Drosophila melanogaster: one gene and its partners. The protein of the gene in region 4 interacts with the protein of the main gene of each other region in a pairwise test. Each region holds a gene or a part of one and is shown on either strand. Other genes may lie near its edges. The genes, in order: CkIIalpha-i3, CG5674, Cpr56F and Cpr97Eb.

Region 1 (4,038 bases), on a different chromosome or scaffold from region 4:
GTCTCAACCTGCGGCAAGTACTCACTAAATCCTTACTGCGAGATTTTTAAATTCAAAAACTACATAATGGCAATTAAATGAGGCTAAGATGAGTATTTATATAAAATAAATGTTCTCTTCGGTAGCGAGTATTGATATAGATTAGGCAAAAAATCCATTTTCAAAAAACGAAAGCCTATTCCCATCTTTGTTTCGTGCAACCTTTTCGATAGTTATCGATAGAGAAAAATCGAAACACATATGTTTGGATCATGATACCTTTCTCTTACGCCGTCCGAAAGAACTGGCAGCCTGGGAAACAAAACTTATTCGTCATCAACTGAATAGCTATTGTAAACAATGGATACAAAGTGTGAGTAAAAAACATAAATTCAAGAAGAAAACTATATATATACTCACAATAAGCCAGCTTACGAAAGGAAGTGGTGTACATCCAACACCCGACTTTTATTGTCCCTTTACAATGAACGCCAAGCTGATTTTCGGGATCCGAAAAAAAAGATCAAGGACATTTGGGGGGAAATGGTCGTTGCCCTTGAAAGCCAGGGAATGACAGATATCGATGCAGTTCAGCTGGATCGAAAATTTAGGAACCTGAAGAAGACCTACTATAGCATAAGGAGCAAGCTCCTGGCGAAGGTACCGCATTTCCATCCAAACTGGCAGTTCTACGACGAGATGTCCGAAATTCTAAAGGATGACCCTGTCCCACCGCCGCAGGAACTTTCCATCAATGATTTCGATGAAGCGGTGGTCAGTTTGGAGACCGGTATCCAGAAAGGCAGGATGCTGTCTATGGGCACCACTGTCAGCACAGTTATTCCCCGCCAAATGCGTACGTATCGCAAACGAAAGCAGCCATTGGATGATGTCGATATCAAGATCCAGAAGGACTACGAAGTGCAAACGGATCGGCAGCGGGATGGGGAACAGTTTACAGTCTTTAATGCCGCCGAACCCAATACTAATGATTTGTCAGAGTCTGCGGCCGAGATCTCCATCAGCAACGACGAAGAGGCATTGAGACACCTAAGAGCGCTCCAGGAGTACGCCATGATCCATGATAATTTCAGGGCCATAGGACTGCTAATACAGGTGGAGCACGCCATTCAATATCCAGCCCAGATCAAGGACTTCGAGGTGGATCAAACGTAGTGTCCTTATAAACAAGCACGTAATCTACTGGAAAAGCAAAGATAAGATAAGGCACATACCTAATTTATACCTCTATATTTAAGATTTTAATATTTTATAATATATATACTTTAATTTACTTTATTTAAATATGGTTCATGCACTTGCTAACACCACTGAAAAATGAATCTGGTTCTAAACAAATCTGGCTTGGGTATTGGCTAAAATATTGCGCTGTGGCAATACCGTTTTCTAAAACCTATAGTTACAACAATCTAAAGGAATTTCACAAGAAAAACCAACATTTCTGAAATCTTATTAGTATTTTGAAGAGTAACAAAGTGAATCCTGCCGAGATCAACGCCGATCTGTAAGCAAGTTCGTCTTGGAAATTGACAAAAACCGAAAAATCTGGCAGCACCAATATGACACTAAAGGTTCAAGAAAAGACCTTCGGTTGCACAAAATAGAAAATTCAAACATAATTGAAAAGAATTAACTAGTATCGTGAAAACATGTAATACAGTTAATAAAAAGTTATAGTATTATGCAATATTGATCAAATGAAGCAAACTTTATCGATAACTTCGAAATTGCAACCCTAAATGCATCGGATGGGCAATACCAATCTGAAGTCTACAAAAAAGCATATTGTGGAAGTCTAAGTTTTGTTAAATTTATGGAAAAGGAATCCAATTTATCGGACAACTTGCAGTCCCGGTTATTTGCACTGGGTCCTGCCCCGCCAGGATTTCGTCCACCGGATGCTACCGCCTTTGCCACAGCGGAGTCAAATCTTCGTAATGCCATCCGCTACCTTAATGATACCTATGGCGAGCTCGATCAGCTGCGCACTGTCATCCAGAAGGAGAAGAATAACTCGAAGCGTACGTCCTACAAGGCGCAGTCCATGATGCTTGCCATGCAAGTGATACGTTTCAAAGGACTTATTGGGAAGTACAGGGACATTCTGATTGGCCTGCAGGATGCCGAAATCATCAAGGTCAAACAATACATAGAGCAAATGGTGGAGATGAGGAACAAAATCCAGGCAAAGACCGATCCCACACAGCGCGAGTTCCAAGTGGGCAGCTCAATCTCACTGGTGCAGGAACAGCGCAAGACCAAGAGAATCTGCCGCAGGTGGCGGGATCGCCTGGTCCAGCTGACGGAGGCCAAGATGGACAAAACTGAGCAACTTACTGAGAAACCAAAGCTGATCAATGTAAGAACCGTTACAAAAGAACTTATACATATTTTCATTGCGCTTCCAATATCCATCCATGTTTTCATGAAAACTCTCATCGAATTCTGATCGAATTTCGACTGAACTCGATATGCTTTTTTAGAAACCTAGAAATATGTTAAATGCAAAAACCAACAAGTGGAAGGAAGCTGTAAGCTTGGTGAGTATAGCCAAACATATAAAGGATAAGTTAAATGCTAGTAAATATAAAACTAATCCTAGCAACAAAGCGGTCTAATTAAAAGTGGCTGTAAGAGGTGTGAATACCTAAGAAAGCTGACTAAGAATCGTCCATCCAAACTTTGTAAGGTGTGTAAAAAATGGTCTGATGATGAAAAAGCAAAAGCGGCAGGAAATAAGAAAGCCAACAAAACGCCAATAATGGTATGACACTATTGAAAAGTCGCAACATAAATTAATACTATTATTGCAGGCGAAGTCGAAAAAATTAGAAGTACGCGTGCGTACGGATTCTGAAGAAGCTATAATTAAAATAGAGATAGAGGTGGGTGTGTACAAGTAGATCAACAGTAACATTAGCACTTATTATTAATTTTCTTAGCATGGTGAATTTACCGATGAAGAGGAAATTGGGTCATTGGAAAAGGAAACGACCTTAAAAGATGAGATCAAGGAGGTTAGTTGTTTCTTCAACCTGAAAAATGTGTTTAATTTTGGAATGTTTTTTTTTAGACTGTTGAATCTCACGACACGGCAGCAGTTGAGGTAAGTAAACAGGTCCTTGGACTGTAATAGAACTAACGTAACGATAAATGACTCAATGACAGGAGGAAAATGAGACCAGTCAAGACGATGTGGACCCCAAAGTAGTCGCTTCCTTACAAAATTCACTGAAATCCATCGACTGTAAAAATATGGCCTTGGCCTACGTGAAGGTCTTACAGGAGTACGCCATGTTAAATGATAACTATCGGGCCATTGGACTACTTACTGAAGTTGAAAAATCAGTTTTAAATCCGCCTCAGAACGAGGATTTCGATCTATGATCTTATTGACGCCACAAAAATAAAGTTTAGTTTTTATATGTAATCTACAATTAAAATGTTCGTGTGTCCTGCCTTTGAGAGTCAAGACCCAAAATGTGTAAATAATTGTAATATGCGAAAAGAGTTTATAGAGTGGAATAACCAACAGGGTCCCACTTAAATGTGGTAAACGTTAAATTAAGCACTAGATATAATTTGAGCAAAAATAGCTTTATATATATGTATGTGTACATATCAAACCAGTTTCAGCTCAGATTAGGTGGTAATGCGATTTGTGTTTTTCGGCATGTTAAACCAGTTATAGCTGCTTTAGCGAGAGAATATTTACTCTCGATCCGAAAATAAATCCCATACCGCGAACGAATACCACCACGATCGGAATCGGAACGTGGGAAGTCGGTTTAGATCGCGAGAGAAAGAGCGGAATGTCTCTCGCAAAGATACGGTTTTTGCCGCTCCGCCAAACGGAGGAGAGTCCAGATCTCTGCAATGTTCGGACCGCATGCTCAGTCATTGAGTTGCACTCGCTCTGGCAACTTTAAACACGTGCGACCGCACATATTTTCTGTTTAATGTGCCTAAAAAACTGCTGTATATTTTCAACAAAGTGTACTTTATGCTCTAAGCTTTCCGACTGAGGTATGTAAACAA
Region 2 (4,623 bases), on a different chromosome or scaffold from region 4:
GCAGGCCTCATCCAGGGCTATGAATTATCCCCTCTTGTTTACATTGAACTATTTTTGGGGGCTCTTTCCAAAAGTCAACGAGATGAGTCCAAGGTCTATGATTGTCTTGTACGAAGTGTTTATATGAATTTAGCTAGAGCTACTTCTAGAGATAGCCAGCTATCCTTATCCTTGTGGGTTTGTCATCAGGCATATCCCGATAGATTAAACCCCAAGGAGTGGGAGCTGTTTGTGAACAATTTCATGGGTAGTTCTGATGGCAGTATGGTGCTAAGTCAGCTTGGAAAACTGCCCGACTGCATGCCCAAGGAAGCGCAATTAAAGCTGGCTATGTTACTCCAATTGTTCCCAGATTTGCGAAGCAAGCTCCAGTTGGAGAAGGACTATATCTGGCGCGGATTCATTGAGGCTCAAGCGGATGATGTGCTACGTAAGTTGTAGAAATAATTTAGTTAATTTCATCTTATTCAGATTTATTTTCGAACTTACAGCTGCGTTGGGGTCCAGCTTCCAGCGTGTGCTTATTGCTCAGATTTTCCGACCCGACTTGATGCTTCACCAACTGCGAAAAGTGAGTAGCGATCTGCTGGGAATTTCCCCAGATGCCTCCACCCAACCTTCTGTGGAGCAGTTGCTGCAGCAGAGCAGCTGTGATCGCCCGATTTTGATGGTTAGTCATGCGGAAAATGATCCAACAACTGAATTGAGAAAGTGGGCCAATCAAAAGTATAGAGAAATGGCTATTGGAAAAGGTGTTGAGAAAAGAGTTCTCTCCGAAATGCGTCAGGCTGCCATAGATGGCCACTGGTTATGCGTTAAGAATGTCCATTTGGTGCCGGAATTTCTAACTCAAATGGAAAGGGAATTAAGTGAAATTCAAAAATCGAAAGACTTTCGATTGTGGCTATTGTGCGAATCAACCGAGGGATTTTCCGAAGCTGCCATTTATAAATGCCTTAAAGTACGTTATGAGCAGCCTAAGGGACTAAAGCAGATTGTGATGCGTTTGCTCCAGAACTTCGCTGCTGAACAGGATCAAAAGCTTAAAAACCAACCAAAGAGCCTCAAGATGAGACTGGTTTATTTTGTCCTAACAGCTGTGCTTCAACAAAGGCGACAGTTTATACCACAAGGTTGGTCAAAATACTATGAATTCGGTGAGGCAGATCTAAAAGCGGCTCTGGGTATCCTAAGAATGATGGATCAGCAACTTAATTCAGGAAAATGCGATTGGTTGCTGATGCAACGTCTCAGTGAAGCCCTCGCTTATGGCGGAAGAGTAAATAATCAGAGGGATCTGGAGATACTCACAACCTATCTGAACCAGTTTTGTTCAGCGGACGTCTTAAGCAATCGTTGGTCACCTCTTGGATTATCTCTATCCATACCAACTAGCGGTCAACTGCAGGACTACTACGCTGCATTGGAGAAACTTCCTGACACAGATGAGCCCAGTATGTATGGTTTGGCCAATCAGGCACAACAGCAACGCGAAATTGAACAGGCCAAAAGAGTGATAAAGGAACTCAGGGGATTGCATTACGGAAGAGGCTTGGCTAAGGATTCTGGAGGAGCAGGAGAGTCTAAGGGAAACGATCAGCTCACTGGTCGTCAGAAGCTGGAACAGCAAATTAAACCCCTACTGAATCTATGGAGAAAGTTGGCGGCTTCGTGTACCATAATCCAGACTATGAAGGAGGCAAAAACTGATGTGGGTGAATCTCCCTGGGCACTTTTTGTGCTGGCTGAACTGAAACTAGGGGCGGATCTCTACGGCATAGTTCACCAGACTTTGTCGCAGATGCATGCCTGGCTTAAGGAGTCGCAGGAGGTGGATGGCAGCACTCTGAGAACTCTGGCAGAACAGCAGGTAAGAAACTGGGGTACAGTAACGTAACTTGAAAATGCATAATAAACTGAAATTCATAGATTCCTGCCAGTTGGCTTAAACTATGGCCTGGACCTGGCAGCAACAGTGCCGTGGACTTTTTAAGAGCCCTAATCGTTCGAGCCCAGGCTGCCGAACTTCGATTCCGGGAGCAAATGCATCTGGATTTTGTAGAGGATATCAATTTCGTCCAGGTGTTTAACTGTGAGAACCTGTTGTCCTGTTTAAAGCTGCTGCAGTCTCGAAAACTGGCAGTTTCCACCGAACGCCTGGAGTTGCAAACTTGCGGCTCCTCAAACTTGGAAAGTGATTCTTCGGACATAATACTCAAGCTGGCGCCGCTAAAGGTGAGTAAGAATTAGTATCTTTAACCGATAATGTTTTGACATCAAGTTGTGAAATCAAATTCAGCAAGCCACTTACTCATGATTCAAGGGGTTATGTCTTCTATGTCTTCTTCTTTAGCGACTAAGAATATATTTCGAAGCCATAAAAGGAAATTTAACTAATCGCAGGATAATCAGCCAAGAAATTGCCATAACTATAATATTCGCGGTAGATGGCGCATTGGTTAAGTTGGGGATAACCATTAAATATCATAAGCCCTCGAGAAGCGTTACAGTAAATACAATAAACATTGAGAAATAATTTTGGGATACATTTTGCCAGGTTGCTATATCAGATACAATTGGATGCACACGTAGTAGTAGTAACAGTAACAATACTCTGTTACGGATTACCTGGATAGTAGATATGCATACATCCATAGTCCAAATTGATTCCCCCAATCCAAAATCCCAAAAGATACTTATTTATCTTTTGGGACGAAGACTGATGACATCTTCTCTCCCTCTTGCCCGTTTGCTTCTTGTCTTTGTTCCTCACCTTCCCCATTTTGGCCATAAAATGTGTCTCCATCGCCGTCTCCATTCTGGCCGTTTCCATAGCTTCCGTATCCGTAATCCTGCGCCTCCTGTTTTCGGTGCGCCGCCGCCGTTCAATGCATCGAAATTAAGCTTGAAATGTGCACTGGATGCCCGTTCTTTTCAGTTTTCTCACGCCGCTTTTTTTGTTTTCATTTGATTGACATTCCGGTACAAGAGGGGGAATTAGAGATGGCACCTTGTCCGATGCCTATCGATAAGCAGTTCTGAGCACAAACTTACATTTTACTTTCCCTTCTCGTTTGTATATCTACGTATTCGATGCCAATCGATAATCGGTTTGGAAGCTGACTATGGGGAGTGCATCCGCTATGCCCTGATGGGTGTACCTGCTAGAACTAACACTGTAAAAAAACAAATAACTATTTTTTTGTATATACATTTTAGGACTTGGAGAATAAACTTTGCAAATCATCTACCCGCTTTTCGCCTTTTTTTTTGTTTTTAGCAATTGTGAATATATGTAATGTGGAATATATCTAAGTATTTCATTAGTAACTAAACTTGGCACTATTCATTTTCCATTACAGATTGATGGCGCCCAGAGTGGAATGGGAAAATCGAACCCCTTCTACATCAAGTACAAAATAAAAGACGAAGTACAAAATGTCAGTCATACGACTACTAGTTCCTCAAAATACGGCAAAAATTCGCTATATTCCACGCAAAATGCTGAATCGAAGCCCAAACTCCCATTATATTCTCGGAGCAGTCGCGACAAATTGATTTGCCACCTAAATGTTGATATTGTGACCGGAACTGCGGAACAAATTCTCTTGGCCGGAACAGCGCTAATAGTCGAAGATTATTAAACACCACTCAATATTATTTTATACCAATATATTTCAAATATATATGTAGAGAAGCGAAGAATGTGTTGGACTGACACTTGAATAGCAATTCACCTTCGCAAATATTAAATAAAAACCAAACGAAACTCTTTTAACATTAGTTTCCTACCCTTGACACGCTGTCATTTGGGTCCCAACTAATTCTAAGTAAATATTTAAACAACTAACAATTAGGCAGCCAAAGGCAAACATAAAAATGGGCCATTAAACATTTAAGGCGAGGACTTAGACTCTGAAGAGCTAATTGATTTCCATATGTCTCAGTGTCTGTGTTTATTCGGGGATGCCCCTAAAAATTAATTTGCCACCGCCGAAGGGATTTTATTGCGTCCTGTGTCCCTCATAATCTGCTCATATTAAACTAATTGCCGTAAATTTCAACAACAAACTGCCATAAATGTCGGGCATACTTTTAGTTGCCAAGACATCCCCGACATCCCCCAGGCCCAAAACCATTTTACCGTCAAAAACTTGTCTTAACTTTAATTAAGTGGCATTATGTTCAATTAGGCAAAAGTTTCCAATATGCAAATTAACACAATTTGAGTGTAAAGTGCCTCCCGGTACCGAGAAGGGGGCGTGGCAGCCGGCTTCTGTGGCATATAAATTGCCCTCCGCACAAATCACAGTGCCTCGTATCGGTGGGCGTGGCAGTTTGTTAACACATTTTGCAAATTTAGCTATGCAGACTTCTCAGATTTTGTTGTACGCCTTTCCCAACTTGTTGTGCTGTCGGCTATTGAGAATAAATAATTTATTACGCTTCAAATGGAAATTTAGTTGCGGATTAAGGAATTAGGCAGCGCGATAAGGCTGAAAAGGTAATTGAGTAAGGATATAAAGTGAATGTGTATATCAAAAGATACATAAACTCCGCTCCGAACTTCAAATCCAATTAGCTACAAGGAAGAACAGTTTAAAGACCTCCTTCTTATGCATT
Region 3 (6,090 bases), on a different chromosome or scaffold from region 4:
GCTATCCGATCAAGTCAGGGAGTAGAAATCACAAAGGCACGAGTGGACCAGTTCGATCCAGTGGAAAAGCCCCAGCCAAATTATTTGCCTCCAAATCAACTGGATATACCCGAGGAAGAGATTTTGCCCACCTCACGACCGTCCAACAAGTACGGTCCGGCAGATCCGAAATTTAAAATCATTTATCCTGATGATGAGGAGCCAGTTACTGCAAAAAATATCGTAGACAATCAGCAGCCCAAAATCAGAGAGGGACGTTACTTCGTCATTTCGCAGGACAATAAACTACAAAGAGTTTCTTTCAGCTCCCAGCAAAACGCAGATGCAGATGCAGATGATTTTACGGCTCAGTTGACTTACTCCACTGTGGGGCAACTCAAGGATCCTGTGTATCGATACAACAGACAGGGACAACTGGAGCGGGTCCTGAAGTAGGCAATTTGGATATAGCTATTTGAATATGTAAAATAGAGTTGTGCAATGTATTCAATTCTCAGAATGAATTATCTTGTTAATTATAAAAACAGTTTGGTTTTTCTTTTTGACTTTGTTTTATACAAAAATGCTTCTTTATTCATTTAATAATTATTAAATATACACAAAAATCTCATAAGTTCGTTTCACTTTCGAATTTCCATTTTCGTTTAAAAACTAAATACAATCCTTATGCATGTATGTATGAATGCGTAATGGTCATGTTGTGGGTGAATGGTGTGTTGGAGTGTGTGCGTAGACTAACACAAAATGAAGGCGCTTAAACAAAACAAAACGGCAAGGAGTTCCAGGTGTAGAGACGGAAAACAGGATAACGAACAGCAGTGAAACGGAAACGGAAAGGAACGCGCCTGTCTATGGCAAAATGGCGGGCGTCCCACTAAGGGTATGCACAGAGATGGGAATAGGGTTATATGGATAGACTGACTGCGATCGCTGGCCCACTGGCTGGATGTGCGTTTAATACTCGGCCAGCGATCCCATGAAGTAGACGAGTATAGTTGCGGGGTCGACCTAAATCGGGTATCCTCACTTCCCCATCTTAGTAGCCGTTGAATTTGCCCTGCTGCGCGTTGCTATCATAACCGCCACCGTTGCGACCATTGCCATTGCCGTTTCCGTTGCCATTGCCGACCTGCTCGTACCGAATGGTTGGGCGGTATCCATTCTGGTCGGCCTCGTACTCAACAATCTGTTTGCGTCCATCGGGCAGCAGGACGTAGTAGCGGCCCACAGCAAGATCACCATCGCGGGACTCCATGTGGCCGAAGTCATTGCCCGACTCGTAGTCCTGTACGTCGTACTTGAACTCGTACTTGGCCGGTCCATACTGCTCCTCATCCCGTTGTCCGTAGCCGTTGCCGTTGCCATTACCGCCGCCATAGCCGCCGTTTCCGTTTCCGTTTCCGCCCTTGAAGATGGCACCAGTCAGCGCTGGAGCACCATATTGACCCTGGGGAGGAGCGATGGGGGCGCCATAGCTGTTGCTGGGCGCTCCTCCATTGCCACCGGCCCGCTGGGGTGGCAAGTAGTTGCTCGACGGCGACTGGTAGCCCTGCGTGGGCGGCAGGTAGTTGTTGGACGGCGCCTGAGGCGACTGATTGGGGGGCAGGTACTGGTTCTGGGGAACTGGTGGTTCCGCATGGGTCCAGGCAGCCAGGCACACGAGCAGGGCAATGGATGTAAAAGCCTGGGAATGAAAATTCAGGGTTGCATTTACATTACAGTTTTCGTTTTGAGTTGACAACCCTTGATTGAACACTCCGTCCCTGACAGCTGTCATTCGAAATTAAATAAGTCCTATTGTTAAGCTCTCGTGATTTTGACTGATTAAATTAAAGCTTAAAAGAAGCAGCTATGACCGATTCGGACGAATCTTCCTGGATTCATTGGTTTTGCAAGCAGCGTGGCAACGAATTCTTTTGCGAGGTGGATGAGGAATATATCCAGGACAAGTTTAACCTTAACTTTCTTGATTCGAACGTTAAGAACTACAAATGTGCCTTGGAGGTGATCCTGGATCTTAATCCGGGTTCAGCTTCGGAAGACCCCGCTGAACCAGAACTGGAGGCTAGTGCAGAGAAACTGTATGGCTTGATCCATGCTCGCTTTATCCTAACCAACAGGGGCATCGAACTGATGTTGGACAAGTACAACAAGGGCGAATTCGGCACATGTCCACGTGCATTCTGCCATAGCCAGCCGGTGCTGCCCATTGGTTTGAGTGATAATCCTGGCGAGGATATGGTACGCATCTATTGCCCCAAGTGCAATGATGTGTACATTCCCAAGGCGTCGAGACATTCGAATCTGGATGGAGCCTTCTTTGGCACTGGATTCCCTCATATGTTCTTTATGGAGAAACCGGATGCTAGGCCCAAGCGGGCAAAGCAGAAGTTTGTGCCCAGGTTAGATCTTCCGTTTCCTGTGTTTCCTTCTATTTCCCTATGTTTTTAAGGTAGTTACTAATAATGTATAACTAATGTAACTATGTTTTCCCAGGCTTTATGGCTTTAAAATCCACCCCACGGCCTACCGTACTGCCGCTGAGATCCAAAAAGATGTGACAATGACGCCAGTAGGAGAAATCGATAGCCCATCCCACATTTGATCCTAAAGCTAAAATTTCTCATAAGCAACTGTCGCGTACTTCTCGAATAAGTGGGCACTGTTCGCCCGGCTGGCTGCCAGCTCATTAAACTCTCATAACAATAACTGCTCAGGCTGTGACCCGCTTGACAATCTTTTGTTTGGATTTGATGGCCTGCGAGCAGGCCCAGAATTGGCTTTGTCTTTCCCATCTTTACAGCATTTAGCTGAGGCATATGCAAATCTGTAGTAATTGGGTCCCAGGTGAAGCTCCCATCGGATTGGATTGGATTTAGCTGGGCTGCAAGTGAAGGGCTAATCTCGTGATCTTGCGCAATGCGTCTGAATCTTAAGTATTCGCCGTGTGGCGCGGACAACCTGTGGGAGAACCACTTCGGCTCACTCTTACACAACTTATTTCCGAATCTTGTGCAAAAGATCTTCTGGCCGAGTGTTTAGGCACAGGGCCGTCAATGACTTTCATGCTTCATTGGCGTTAAAATGCTATGCTTTTTGGCTGCGCTTTTGTCTGTATTTTTTTTTTATCGCCGCCTGGTCATCTCCAGACTGCCTTACTTGGGCATGTCCAGTAGTTCTTCTTCCGCCACTTAAAGTTTCTCTAATTTATTCATTGCAAAATGACCCCAAGCAGCGGCAGCTGTTGTTGCTTCTGTTTGTTACCCACACCCTAGAAATGAACTGGGATCGCTGGTTGCAATTGTTTCCCAGGCGAATGATATCGGTGTTCTAATTCCGCAACCTACCATAAAAAACAGTAGCTATCCTAAACAAATTGATGGTAATCTTAACTGCGATGATGATGGCAACTTATGAAATTTATTATGCGGATCTCCGCTTGATTAATCACCCAGCTGAACTTGACTTTTAATATGGCTCAAATATTAATATTTCATGTCTTTTCCTTCCGATTAGCTGATTAAGTGCTATGTGAGACAATGAAAGCTTCATTAGTTTGATGAGTTGTTTAATTGATTGATCGATCTATTGCCAAAAACGATTTTAAATGAGGGCTATTGATTGGATACAGAAAAATGAATACAAAATTCGAACATATTTTAGCACCTTTGCAATGCAGAAAAAGATATGGGCAAATATTGTGATGTTTATTTGATCATTCTAAGATTTTGTAACCCAACGTTGTTTGTATGTTAGCTACAGCAAACTTCAATATCCTTTGAAAATTTAACAAAAGGTCGAAACTGTATCTAATAAAGGACCTATATTGAATGATCTTTATAGCTATTCAAGTTTTATATCCTTTAGTCATATCGTTTCCCGAATGCCGAATGAGGCATTGTATTTCGTTTTGGCTGCCCATATCCTTTTGTGAGGACTTTTTTTTTTCACACAGCACACCACTTGGCACTTGACTCGAAAGTTCTATTCGGCTATATACCTTCATTTTGTGTTGTCACTTGTTTGGGATTTTGGCACACACGAAAACGGTTTTTGTTAACTTTGCTCTGTTGGCTGTGTTCTTCTTGCGAAGATGGTTGACTTGATTGTGATACTGAAACAATTTCGTAGGCCAGTATTTATATTTGAAATGAGCAGCAGCTAACGCGGCGGCGTCGACGTCGGCTTCAAAAAATTGCGCGCCAAAATGTGTGTGTTTTTTGTTCAGCTTAGTTCGTTATTTCAATTTTCGGTTAGTCGAGAAAAAAATGAGTGCCACAGTGCCGAACGAGCACTTGAAAAACATTACAAAATAATGCAAAGCACACGGAGCTGAGGAAGAGCAAATCGCTCTCGGTGGTGCTGCCGAGAAAAGAGGGAAATCGCTTGAGGTGGATTTGTTATAGTAAACTAGTTACTTTGGAAATTAAAGCGCCAAACATTTTGACGATGCTGACTTCGTATCTGCGGTCGGGTTCGGCAAATGAGCGAAGATGAGTGCCAAACATTCAAACAAATGAGACGAGGGAGTACCGCGCTCCTGCGGCTGCAGGCCATAAACATTTGTTGCCGCTCGTGTAATAGCAGAAACACTTATTTGTAATGGAATTAGTCATGCAGCAGGCAGCGGGCAGCGACGTCGACGGTAGCGTCCAAAAGCCAAGTGAGCGGAGGCAGCTGCTCCACGCATCTTCATCTCGCATCGGAGGCTTCAGCTTCAGTCGTGCGGCAGCTTCAGCGGCGGCCGCCTCGAAAGGCGAAGCAGAAACAAAAGACTCAGGCAACGAACTTGCTGCAGGCAATGCTGCTGCAAATTGTTTCCCCTTAGTGCGTGGGAGTTTTCGCTGGGTTTTGCTCGGTTTTGTTTTTCAGCACAACTAATGAGCTGGATTATGCCCCCGACTTCACAAATGTGTCCGTTTGGATTGGCGTTGACATGGATTCAAGTCGGATAAGCTGCAATTGAGCTGTGAGCACAGCGAGGGAAAAAGAGTTTTAAGATACGTTATCTTCCTTGCTGGGAAAGATACGCTCTGGTGTCGAAAATGTTGATTGTTATTAAACTGAGCATTAGTAACGGCTTGTAGTTGCTTTGCGAATCAAAATTACCTAAAGATCTCTTCAACATTCATTTATGGGTGAAACATTGCTCCAATTTAAATGAGATCAATTTATTTATATATTTACTTTATAAACAAATAATTTGTAGAGAGAAATAAGTTTTAAAATAAACACATATTTAAAAAAAATAACATAATTTTTTTTTCTATTTGTCCATTTCCTGCAAAACGTATTGAAATGTGTATGCTCAATAGTTTTGGATACTTATTTATCCCATTAAAAAGTCGATTGCATAACAAAGGAAACTTGAACTCTTTAAAAATACTCGAACACAATACTTGACAATAGGGAAAAGTAATTCAATATTTTTATTGCCATATTCCATGTTCATTTAAACAGTGGGCGTAGCATCCATCACGATCTGCAAATATTTCTTTGGTCAATTGTCTTTTGGCTCATTGGTCGAATGCGTAGCAAATTAAAATTTTTATCATTTTGTTATAACGGACCCTGCTTATTTTGCGATTTGGCACGAGCTGACTTTCACATTCGATAATGCCAAGTTTATGAGTTGTAAATTTAAAGGCCGTGCGAAGCCACGCCCCAAATGAGCTGGAAATTAATGAGGTATTGAAGGGATTGAAGGGATGGGGTGGGATGGAATTGCTTCCTCGCTGCGTATTCCCCCAAGTGATTTTCTGCAAGTAATACTCGACCTTGCCACAGACCACAATAAAAATAAATTAGAGAATATACAGCCAAGCTTTTGTAATTACCAAGATCATTTGGAGTTATGTGTGCAAATATGCGAATGCGAAAAATTCAAATAAACAAACAGAAATTATAGCAGAGCAGTTAAGACTTGACTTCATAATGGCTAATATGAATCTTGAAATGTAAGCAAAACAATTAAATAAATAAACCTTCGTATGCCGCATTCCTTGTCTCGGAAACCAAAACTGAAATTCATTTTCAATAGCACTCCATGAACGACTTCAAATCTGTTTTCGGTTTTCAGTTTTCAGCTTC
Region 4 (3,588 bases):
CCATAGACCATAGACCATACTTATGGCCAACAGCTTATGGCCAACTGGTCGGCCGTTGGTGGCAGTGCATTTGAAAGTGGTTTGGGGCCAGCACATTGCATAAGTGCACCAAATTCCAGTCAACAGCAAATCCACTTTGGTTTTCAATCTGAATCGGCCACAATGCTTGCCTTTTTTTTGTAGTTTTTTGTTGTTTTGGCTCGATCATTCTGTGTTGACGTAATGGCCTAACGATTATTGGCCACTTGCTGGGCTCTTTGCCTTTATTTCAATCGGCTGGATTTTGCTACAATTTCTGCTGTGGGGCGGCTTAATTGAAGCGGAACCTGGTAGTTGGCTAAATTGAATGCCAAAGCAGATATTTCAAATACTTCTGAGCACTGAGAATAATTACTTAGCAGTAAATGACAGCGAAAAGGGTAGCGTAAATTGATTGAATGTTTACTAGTTGTCTTTAACACCCTAATTGCCTTTGATTTTCATAGCAATTACCAAAACATTTAATGATTTCAGAACACTTTCGTTTTCTCTGTAAACGCTTCAGGTTTCAAAACTCGATTTATTACACACATTCAAGAACATATATAAACAGGTACAGTAATAGATACATGTGTGGGGTGTGCGGAGTGACTGATTTATTTGGCAGTAACAAGTTGACATTGTCCTCGGACACTTCAGTCCCTGACTCTCTGGCCCAACTCAGAGGTGATCCCCCCATCAAAAGGTCCTCCTTCCTACTTCCGGCCCGTATAGTCGATGCTATAGGAACCGGTGTAGAGGTTGAGATTTCGCAGGGAGGGATGATGTTGCTCCGGCAACCCCCTGTATGGCTGTTGCTGCTGGGGATTATAGTAGTTCTGGGCCGGAGGCTGGTAGTAACGGGGCTGCGGAGCCGGGGGATTGTAGTATTGGGGTGTGGGATTGTAGTAGGGCGTTTGTGGGGCGGGCTGCCGAGGTGGCGGGGCATACGCCTGCTGCTGGCCGCGGCCGAAATCGTTCAGACTGAATTTACTGGCCGGTGAAAGGGGGCGATTGAACTTCTGGTCCTTGTAGTACACCGAGGGGTCCTCACGATACTGGCCATCGTCCAATTCGTTGGGTCCCAATGGATAGGGATTGCTGTTGGTCAGCGTAGGTGGTGGCACATTGATGTGACTGCCAGCGGGCTCAAAGCCACGCTTACTGGCTCCATACTCTATTTCCCGCACTTTTCCCTGGTCATCCACATAACCGTACTTTCCATAGACCTCTCCATTCGCGTACTTGGTTTCGATCTTGAAGCTCTTATCGGCCGCTTCGTATCCATATGTGTAGGAACCATCGTCGTTGTGCTTGTCGATCTGCTTGAGAATGGGCACCGGTGTGGTGTAGTCCTGGTGTTGCGCATACGCACTGTGGGCCGCCAGAAGCAGAAGACCCAAGCTCAAGGTCTGCAAATTGAAAAACAAAGAGTTGAGTGAAAAAGTGACTCAAATCGTTTGTATCATTAAATCACCATTTCGGTCACACCCATCTGTAAAGTCAGCAATTATACATGAACTTTGCCTTTATTGCCTTACTTTTGGCTAAATACCTTAATTAGCTGCTCTGATTATCAGTTCACAAACATTCACTCAAGGACATGGCTGAGTAATGAACCACCAATTAAGTTACTCTTTATCATAGACACCGATCTGATCAAACCGGTTGGCTAAATTGCATTCTAAAAATTCACTGCGCATATTCTGAAAACACCTTTTGCATACCGATATGAATATCGAGCTTTGGAGATGTAACACTATAAACCACCTTGCTGAATCTTACCAATTTCAACATGCTGCCAAGCTTAGAACCAATTGTCAATGTCGAACCGTTTTCACCAATCTCCCAAAGTAGTTATGCACTGCGAAAATGGAAAATGTGTTCTGCACTTGCACTCGAGACTCTGCGAATCGAAACGACAAACTCAAAAGAAAATCAGGGCGTGCAACGCTTTTTATACCGCAGTCAACATTTCGCAAAAGCGGGCCAAGAGGGGAAAAAACCATGGCAGAAACTAAAGCTTCAAGCCGAAGTCTCTGGATCTGGCGATCAGCTGCGATCAGAAAACGAAAACGAATACGTTAACCGAGGCCCGAGCTCCCGATCCGATCCGAGAACCGATTCGACTTGGCTTGGAATGCAGCATAGAAATCGAAAGCGGTCGTCGGCCAGCTGTACTTACGTCCGATCGATATGCCCACTCACTCACCTCTACAGGTAATTCACTTACCAGCAGCAAGCCGACGCGCAGCAATTTCCAATCAGGTTGTTAATGTCGTCTACTCGAATTCTTGGCCAGCAATTTATGCTTCCAGACCGCAACACTCACGCATACGCAATGAGATCAGAGCAGCAACAGTGATGAGAACTAGGTACACTTGGTACACTTACACTCCATATCCTACTCATATTGGCACACTCTAGTTTGAGGTACAAAGTGCGATGTAAAATAGTTTTCAAGTGCCATCTAAAAACTTTTACAATTCACATCGATTTATCAGGTGTTAGTTATCTTTAAAGTTTATTTCATAGACACAATTAAAAAGTACCTTTGGCATCACTGAAATCTACAATCCAGAAAAGAATAAAATGCCAGTACTGCGAGGTGCGGAAGTGTTGCACTTGCTAAGCATTCCAATTATGCAAGTCAATTCCCCCCCACCTGCTAATCGATTGCAAATACCTGTCCAAACACCTTGCTCCCAGTTAAGTGCACTGGCCAATGGCAATCTGCATCCACAACATGCAATTTGACAGCTTATTTAGCCATTTCTCTTAGCCTGTCAAAACTCACACTTGAAGCTAGGAAAAGAAAGCAATACAAAAACTTATATGCTGGCATACTGACCTAGTCAATGCTTTGGCTAAAGAAACAGGTTGCTGAAATTACGTCATAGATAGGCAGAAAAAAATGTGATGGTTTGACTAGATCTCTGGAGATTTCTAGAATTTAAATTAGTTTATATGATGTTTTCTTTTTATTTCACAAACAACCAGTTAAGTAGGATCCAATTTATATAAAATAAATTGCCAAAATCCCCAAGCCACATTCAAAACAAACACAGTTGTCAACCTACATTATAATACTGAATTTATTCCATTTATTTCGGGGGATTTGCATTCATCTATCTGAAATCACATTCTACACTGTGCAAAATACACCAAATAACAAGTCATATAGCATATTCATCAAATAATAATGCAGAACCACAGATTTTCAGGTCTCACTGTGGCAAAGAATAAAAATGTATGCGTATTTAAAATAAGAAAATTCCCATGATACATAATTCATAATTAGTTGTTTTCTGTGTAGGTACTTATGTCAAAACCACAAGTTCGTTAACCCAAGAACCGCAGACCTTGGTCATGGTTGCATGCAGATAAATACATTCGCTTGGCTTCTTTTCCTCACTTGAGTATGCATATATGCAAAGATAGTTTGCTAGAATTGTCGCCTATAATTAATTGGAATATATATTCTTAAGAGAGATCTACTAAACTAAATAAATCCGTCAGCATTACAGTCGTCGCATCTTAATGATCTTGTAGAACCAGTTCGGCTCCAGC

The links.
Region 1: the proteins of Cpr97Eb (region 4) and CkIIalpha-i3 interact in a two-hybrid assay, tested with the Drosophila melanogaster proteins (one large-scale study listed by BioGRID).
Region 2: the proteins of Cpr97Eb (region 4) and CG5674 interact in a two-hybrid assay, tested with the Drosophila melanogaster proteins (one large-scale study listed by BioGRID).
Region 3: the proteins of Cpr97Eb (region 4) and Cpr56F interact in a two-hybrid assay, tested with the Drosophila melanogaster proteins (one large-scale study listed by BioGRID).

Annotation. Positions count from the first base shown.
Region 1 is NT_037436.4:708,059-712,096, reverse strand, and holds CkIIalpha-i3 (CKII-alpha subunit interactor-3), read left to right. Parts: upstream 1-1,735; 5' UTR 1,736-1,739; coding exon 1,740-1,787; exon of another isoform or gene 1,788-1,813; coding exon of another isoform or gene 1,814-1,849; coding exon 1,850-2,359; intron 2,360-2,483; coding exon 2,484-2,540; intron 2,541-2,602; coding exon 2,603-2,764; intron 2,765-2,813; coding exon 2,814-2,885; intron 2,886-2,942; coding exon 2,943-3,017; intron 3,018-3,073; coding exon 3,074-3,106; intron 3,107-3,168; coding exon 3,169-3,387; 3' UTR 3,388-3,496; downstream 3,497-4,038. Other genes in the region: CG13896 (uncharacterized protein), read left to right, coding at 340-352, 410-1,155.
Region 2 is NT_033779.5:17,961,756-17,966,378, reverse strand, and holds the start of CG5674 (uncharacterized protein), read right to left. Parts: upstream 3,001-4,623; 5' UTR 2,834-3,000; coding exon 2,774-2,833; intron 2,236-2,773; coding exon of another isoform or gene 1,930-2,235; intron 1,871-1,929; coding exon of another isoform or gene 492-1,870; intron 431-491; coding exon of another isoform or gene 1-430. Other genes in the region: btv (beethoven), read left to right, coding at 1-430, 492-1,870, 1,930-2,235, 3,363-3,644.
Region 3 is NT_033778.4:20,287,828-20,293,917, forward strand, and holds Cpr56F (cuticular protein 56F), read right to left. Parts: upstream 4,119-6,090; 5' UTR 4,007-4,118; coding exon 4,001-4,006; intron 2,724-4,000; exon of another isoform or gene 2,606-2,723; coding exon of another isoform or gene 2,497-2,605; intron 2,403-2,496; coding exon of another isoform or gene 1,852-2,402; exon of another isoform or gene 1,718-1,851; intron 1,685-1,717; coding exon 1,037-1,684; 3' UTR 544-1,036; downstream 1-543. Other genes in the region: CG34199 (uncharacterized protein), read left to right, coding at 1-435; CkIIbeta2 (casein kinase II beta2 subunit), read left to right, coding at 1,852-2,402, 2,497-2,605.
Region 4 is NT_033777.3:27,089,177-27,092,764, forward strand, and holds Cpr97Eb (cuticular protein 97Eb), read right to left. Parts: upstream 1,955-3,588; 5' UTR 1,816-1,954; coding exon 1,804-1,815; intron 1,431-1,803; coding exon 735-1,430; 3' UTR 528-734; downstream 1-527.